2 linked regions of the Schizosaccharomyces pombe genome follow. The protein of the gene in region 1 interacts with the protein of each later gene in a biochemical or structural test. Each region holds a gene or a part of one and is shown on either strand. Other genes may lie near its edges.

Region 1 (4,225 bases):
TCACGAAAGCAAGCCGCTCGCACGCTTGAGACCGTATCAGAAGAACAAATGGGATCATCCAATGCTAAATCCAAGGTACTAACATCTGAGCCAAAGGACTCTACCTCTGTTGAAGCCGAAAAAACCGAAACTGATGAGCCTGCTGTTGGTAAAGGAGCATCCGATGTGTCTGATACAGCTGAAATTTCTGAGAAAACTGAAGCCAAGAATGCTGATTCGGAAGCCAATTTAGAAGAGAAATCTGACGTTGGGGAAGAAAAGGAGAGTAAGGACGAAAATAACAAAGCTAGTCTTCATAAGGATGTTGAGGAGAAAGATACAAAGATAACAAATGAAGACACTGGTAAAACGGAGACCGATGTCAAAGCCAAGGAGACTGATAGTATAGAGGCCAATGACAAGGATGAAAAGACCGATAGCAAAGAAACTGAGGACAAGGTCGAAGAAACTGAAAGTAAAGAGGCCGATGTCAAGGCTAAGGAGACTGATAGTATAGAGGTCGATGACAAGGAGGAAAAGACCGATAGCAAAGAAACTGCGGACAAAGTCGAACAGACTGACAGTAAGGACACTAACGAGAAGCCTGCGAAGGATGATAATAAAGAGGCAAATGAAAAGGCTGAAAAAGTTGACAGCAAAGATGTTAAGGAAAAGATCGAGGAGGCTGCTGATCTACAAAATTCGGGAAAAGAGACTTAAGGGAAAGAACAACAAGGCACATCATGATAGGTTCAAGAGTTGTAATCAGCTAATGGTACTATATATGCCTTGAGTATTCAGGGTACGAGTAGCTTGAAGATTTAAATTTTGCTATTTTCGGTGTTCCTCAGCTTTACAGTAAATGTTTTAGCGCTGTTTCGATTTTTCTTATAAGTAATGTTTTTTCGAGCTCTTTTGTTTCATATTTTTATAATTGAATTATTAATAATCAATTAAATTTTTCACGACAATCGCAATCCCGTTGATGAATTTGCAAAGTAACTTTAATTTAAGATTGTGCTTGAAGTTTTATCGAAACCATTTGGATAAACTGAGTAGCTAAGTATCCATACATTCACTCCATCCTTGCGTGCATAGCAACCTTTATTCTTTTTACCACTACTGTACATGAGACATATGATGCTTACAAAAAAATGATATTCATTGAGAAGGCACGAAACAACGTGAATTATTAAAACAACGTATTTTAACTACAACAATAACTGAATACAACATAAATCAAACTAAAAAATGATATAAAATATAAAAACTGTACGTAGCATTCGGTCATCACGAGCCATGGCACGAAGCAACGACTTCACGATGGTTTTAAGCTATGCTGTCGGTCTCCCCGACATAATCTATACCGATTCCATGAAGAGGAAAAAGCTGCAACCATTAATACGGTTCTATATTATAACCGCGTTAGAAGAGAGCAGACTTTTTGACATCAGTAATTCATTATTTTGTGAGATGAAGCTTTGTTTTAACTCACTCACATTTCTTATATACTAGGAGTCAAAAAACAGTCACATGTGTTAGTGCACTTTCGTTTCATCTCATTATATCAAAAATATAAACAAATGTTAAATAATCTTCAAAGGACGGTATGACATGAGAAAAGCAGTGAGTCAGAACATTAATTTAACTCCAAAAAAGTAACATGGATAAGCATTACTATGATAGTTGGTGTGCCGAATGATTGTAGTATTACATAGCCAGAGCCCAGAGTTTATTAGGTCGATCGGTTTTAATCAGATGATGTCCACCATACCCGCGTTTTTTAATTGGTTCTGTAACTGAAATGATGGGTATTGAGAATGTATGTCAACAGCGCCTCTAAGCCGACCTGTTCACTAATCCGTTTTTTCCCGAAAATTGAGTCTTTAAAGATATAACGAGGTGTTGCATACCGGGTTAACAGTACAATCATCGAACCACACGGCACTTAGATCAGATATAATTTAATCGTATCTCTTTATCAGATTAAAACAAACCACCAACGACAAACGTTTGAAAAAGTGAGATTTTTAAGCTTGGTCAGTAGAGGCATTGGAGTATTGGAAAATAAAGATTTATATATTTTGCTAAAAGTGTAGTTCTGTACTTGATATCTCCTATCCCCCCAACTTTTTTTTTGCTCATGGAATCGTCTAAAAGTCCATCGGAAGTGGAAAAATCATCTTCTGCTTCTCCAGCACCTCAAAAGCCGATGATTCGCGTCTCTAAACAATGGGTTGTTCCTCCTCGTCCCAAACCAGGAAGGAAACCTGCGTTAGATGCTCTGGGAAGAAGAAAGGCACCTATTAAACCAAGACCTGGGCCGACTTCAGCTTTGTCGGTCGAGGAAGCCAAATTCCGTGTTCGTGAAAAACAATATCAGGATACGATCGGAAAGTTACAGAAGGAGAACAACGAGCTGCTTGAGCAGTTGGAGATGCTGCAGGCTCAGTTGAAGAATTCTACTTTGGATAGCCCCAAGGAAGTCGAAGTAAACTCTGAAGTTGTCAAGCCAGATTCTGCGACTACTGAGAATGAAAACCGTTATGTAAATCAGTACAATTATCCGGTCGAGCCGCCCTGTGCTAAGAATGCCGTTTATACAGAGATTCCCATTGAGCTAGATCCTCATGCCTTCTTGGGTGATTCGGCCAAGAGAATTCGTGTGGATAGTGACAGTAAAGATGCAAAGTCCGTTCCATCCGAAAATGGAAGAATTCGTGTATCTATGTCTCCCCAAAACGAAATTAATTTTACACCTGAAAACCCAGCAGTAATGGAGAAGATACGTAAACGTGGTGTTTGCAATAGTGTAGAAGGATGTTTGTACTCTGGAAGCCCTAAATCTGTTAAACGTGTCCGTGAATCCGAGGAAACCAAGGTTTATGCTCAACTACTTATTGACTTACACAAGTCCTCGAAGTCTGCTCCGATGTTAAAGGCAGGTCCTTCAATCGCCTTCAAACTTCCTACCATGGAACCAAATTTTAACGATGTTCGTCCCGTCACTTCCATATCCTCTTCTTCCTAAGTTTCCCAAAAGTTTTTGTCATCTCTCATCTCCTCTTGTTATTGCATCTCAGCAGCGACTTTTCTGTTTGTAAGTGATCTCCATTACCTTTTTCCATGGTACGGAATTTTTATTTTCGGACTTAATTATCTTGCTTCATACTATTTTATTCGTTGTGCATTTTCGTTCTTTTTGGATTTCTTTCTGTTAATACTAACGTTCACTACTGGTATTTGAACCAATACATTCAGAAATATTACAACATTTTATTTTTCGTGTTCTTGGTATTTGTTTTAAGAGTGTGTTTTTTTTTTACTCACTAGACTGGCTGTACGTCGTAAAGTATGTTTCCTTGACATATTCTAGTCTAGATCGCTTTGTTCATTACATTGCTTCCTTTTCTGTTATATATGTTAATTTCACTATATGTTTTGTTTTTATATATTTTCTGATTTGTATAGAAAAGAATAAATCTTTGTTATATTTTTACTCAAAATGTTCATAGCAAACATTTGACTTTACAAACTGCTAAGCAGTGTTTTTAATAAATTTAATGCTAAAGCCTTCACTGTGTTTATTATGGCTTATGTTTGAAGCTTCGTATTTCCAAATTTAAAAAGTGAATAATCTAACAATGTTAATATGCTAGTCAATTTTTTTTAACAGTGTGGTGTACCACTAGAATTTCTTCGTTTTGCAATTGCCCTGGTTGAAAGAAAACTTGCTAGAGCACCGAAGTTCTTGTGTACGGTAATCTTTTGGTGAGACCAATCCACTTTCGCATTCAAGTAGAAAGAGTTGTAGTGTCCTAAGGATCTTATATGTCTTTCTTTCAGCGTCATAATCAACTCATGGTTTTTTCAATTCAATTCAATCATATAAAATAGGTAAATTGCTAAAATTGATTAATTTCATTTTGTAAATTTGAAGAGGATATAAAACAGTGTGCGCTATTTCCCCTAATGATCATTTAATAAGTAGTTACAATTTTATATGAAATCCAAAATTACATATCGTCAATTACGATTAAAAATCGTTCTTTGTGATGTGCTTACAATTGAGCTTTTATTCATAACTTTTTTTCAAAACAAGTATTATGCATGTTAACTGTAATTGCATCAAAAACTATATTGTGCTGCCAATTTTAACCAAAATCCTATATGACTATCCTGGATGCATGATTTTTTTCGTAGAATTCTCTATTGTCAATTAGGGTGCATTCACCCCAATTATAGA
Region 2 (3,696 bases), 2.0 Mb from region 1:
AGAAATGTTTCTACAGAGTAAAACCCTCTATCAACAAAATCCCCTAGAAATAAATATTTTGTACCTGGACATGACCCACCAATTCGAAAAAGCTCCAGTAAATCATGCAATTGGCCATGGATATCACCACAAATGGTTACAGGAGATGAGATCCATTGTATGTTAGATTCCTCAATTAAAATATCTCTTACACGCTGACAAAGTTCAACAACTACCACAAAACGTTAGACCCCATTCTTATAATTATGGCAAAGAACAACCAATATGAATGATCGTTGTTATATCGACGGAGATAAAAGTTATTCTATAAATACTATTATACATACCATTTGATTCTGGAATTAACCTTCCGTTCTCCAGTTCCTCAAGTTGCCAATCCAAATCTAAATCAGTCATTTTGAACTCGTCAAAACATAAAGTAAAGAAAACTAGAATAACTTGGTCCTTTAGAATAAGAAAATAAACAAGTGAAATTCTTTTTCAACTTTATGTATCATTTAAGAAATTTAATTTTAAATAAGTCAAAATACCTCTGTCAAGAGGTATGACGCGTAGAGCTTTGGTGACTAAAATTCGGTTTTCCTTTTGATAATGACTTTTAAAATAATTAACATGACCTCCTTAATTAGCAGCTTCCGAATTTTATTGACACATACGTTGCGTTACGCTAGATTGTTTTTCAGAAAAATACGGTTGCTCCACCATTATTAGTGCTTTCATCTCGAAATGAAATGGACACAAGTTTTTGTATTAGATTGTTTTTTTTTAATCATTTATACTTAAAATTAATGATGAACTAGAATCTTTTAATTAAGTTGCATGCTACTCCAGTATGATTATTATAGCATGCCGTATTATCATTGATCTTGAGTTTTTATAACGCTAATACAAGAACGTGCACCTACTCATATATATATCTAGATTATAAGAAAAACTCCTATAGTTCTAACGGATCTAAATTGTTCGCACAAATGCGCAGCTTTGATGTTATAGGGTTTTTGTGAAATAAACTACATAACACTATAGCTTCTTGGTAAAAATCAGATAACACTCACAATTATAGGTAAAATAATCTGTATGCTGAAGGCGTACCCCTGTGGCGGAATATACACTCAATATAGAAAAACTGTATAGTCAATTCGTGTTGCAAACCCATAATTTATGTGAAGCTTTAACATAATTTGCATACTATTCTTTACTTATGTTCAGTCGGCAACTCAAGATGTTCAAATAACTAAAAAGATTTTAGAAATATATTCTTTCTATCTTTCAATATGGTTTACTGCAATTTGCGTACTATCAAAAGAATGAGGTGTGTAAGAAATGCTTGCCCTGAGCAGTACAATGCAATTTTTTAATACTTTAACTATATCAATCAATGTGTATGCTGTTGTTTTTATCAAGTATGAAACATATCTCATCTTGGTTGTTTTGGTCGCTTGTTATAAACTCATTTGGCTAGTAAAGCGACTGTTAATTTTATGTACAACATACAAAAATAAAATGTTAACAGAATTGTTTGGGTATTACGTAGAATCGGAGTATAAGCGCAACACACTAGTTTTTTTTGCCGAAAAAATTATTTTCCAGACGTTTTAATACCGAGGGATAAAGTTATCTGATCAGTCACGATGGTAATTAAAAAAATGAGATCGAGAATGCCGTTTAATGAATAGACAATGAAAAAAGTGAAGAAGAATCATCAAAACGTACATCAAAAGTGGTTTAACTAAAAAATTTCGAGTAATTTACTTGGATATGTTTTTTGCTGCAATTATATCATTTGCGTCGCCTATTGTGCAAGGAAGAGATTTTACTAGATACGTTTTCTACACTGCTCAGCCGAACCTGCCGACAACCAACTAGGAAAAAATAGGGCGTTGATTGTTGATTAAAAAGAATAAACTAGGTTTTTGAAAAAAAAAGTAGGAAAAGAAATAATTCCTCAAGCTGTGCTATTTTGATTGGAAATGAGCGTCGAAATTACTTTTGTTGAACAATTTCAAGAGATATTGCAAAATGGAAAAGAGCAAATAATTTTACTCAATTTTTATGCACCATGGGCTGCTCCATGCAAGCAAATGAACCAAGTCTTTGATCAATTTGCAAAGGACACGAAAAATGCCGTTTTCTTAAAAATTGAAGCTGAAAAATTTTCCGATATAGCAGAGTCGTTTGATGTAAACGCTGTTCCTCTATTTGTTTTAATCCACGGAGCAAAAGTTTTGGCTAGAATTTCGGGGGCAAATCCTCAAAAATTGAAGGCTGCTATTGACGAGTATATTCAACCCCTTATCTCCCAAATATCCTCTACCAACGCGTCCGTGGAAACTCAAGTAAATTCCGTTCAGACTACCAACACTACTTCCAATACCTCTAAAGCTCCAAATGGGTTGGATTCTGAACTAAATGAAAGGTTGAGCACGCTAACAAATGCTCACAATGTTATGCTCTTTTTAAAGGGTACTCCTTCAGAACCTGCATGTGGTTTTAGTCGTAAGCTCGTTGGATTACTTCGTGAGCAAAACGTTCAGTATGGATTTTTTAACATATTGGCTGATGATTCTGTACGCCAAGGTCTTAAAGTGTTTTCCGATTGGCCAACTTTCCCTCAATTGTACATTAAAGGTGAATTCGTCGGTGGTTTAGATATTGTTTCGGAGATGATTGAAAATGGTGAATTGCAAGAGATGCTTCCCAATTAATTGTTATCTGTGCATATGAAGAATTGTACTTTTAATATCCTTAATCATTCTTTTATGTTGATGATTTTGTGAAAGATAACTTTTAAATTGGATAATCAGATAATAATACGATTGCAGATTTAGTTTTCTGTTAATTTAATTTTGTTAACTAACCGCCTCAACTTATCAAAACAAATGTTAATAAAACTATATAACATAAAATGAGTTTAAGCAAGTAAATAACGCATAATAAGCAACCAGGTTAATTAAGAATACACAAAGGAGCCAGAACTACCATTGCAACTATTACTTCGTACACTTTACCATTTAGCAGTACCCCCAAATTTCAGAAAAAATAAACAATTAGAGTATGCAATACAACTGCGCCAGTATCCACACAAAAGAACTAATCGACTACTACACCTTTCTCTACATTTTATTTCACAACTTAAAAACAACAGATTCTCATTCACGAACAATGCCTACTGCTCACATATTACATGAAAACCGAATACTGCTTAGCTCATCATCTACACACTTTTTGACTATGCACATCAAGTTATAACAATTCTCACAAACGATTCACGACAATTGTTACAAAGAAATGTACAGAAAACACGTCAGAAAACACCAGCTGCCCTACATGACACGACCAAAAGGAACATATCATGTAAGAGATCATCGCAAATAAAGATAGCACAACAATTAAGCAAAAAGCCAAATCGATCAGCACATCCTCAAAGAAGTAAAAATTCTCACTCTGCGGGCAACGGTGCCTTCTATCATCATCCGTGTTGAGTTCTGTGGCTAGGTTAGGAAACCCAAGCCGGACGTATACTATAGAAATGATCCTATGGAGTATCGTCGATGGTCTTCAAAATCGCGGACGATGCCTTTTTATAGTAAGTATTTGAAAAAAAGCAGTCACTTGGCTTTGCAAAAGCAGCCAATAATATTGGTGCTACCTTCTAAAAAATTTTCCACACCTTTACATCGTAAATTACGAAAACCT

The links.
Region 2: the proteins of php4 (region 1) and grx4 form a complex in vitro, tested with the Schizosaccharomyces pombe proteins (one study listed by BioGRID).

The regions. Positions count from the first base shown.
Region 1 is NC_003423.3:1,914,635-1,918,859, reverse strand, and holds php4 (CCAAT-binding factor complex repressor Php4), read left to right. Parts: upstream 1-1,967; 5' UTR 1,968-2,122; coding exon 2,123-3,010; 3' UTR 3,011-3,485; downstream 3,486-4,225. Other genes in the region: SPOM_SPBC16E9.02C (CUE domain protein ), read left to right, coding at 1-699. UniProt on the Schizosaccharomyces pombe protein: Component of the transcription regulatory CCAAT-binding complex. Required for the reprogramming of the cell for iron use. Down-regulates pcl1, sdh4, and isa1 underlow-iron conditions.
Region 2 is NC_003423.3:3,955,534-3,959,229, forward strand, and holds grx4 (CIA machinery monothiol glutaredoxin Grx4), read left to right. Parts: upstream 1-1,850; 5' UTR 1,851-1,970; coding exon 1,971-2,705; 3' UTR 2,706-2,946; downstream 2,947-3,696. Other genes in the region: pph3 (serine/threonine protein phosphatase), read right to left, coding at 1-211, 327-396. UniProt on the Schizosaccharomyces pombe protein: Monothiol glutaredoxin involved in the biogenesis of iron-sulfur clusters. Binds one iron-sulfur cluster per dimer. The iron-sulfur cluster is bound between subunits, and is complexed by a bound glutathione and a cysteine residue from each subunit.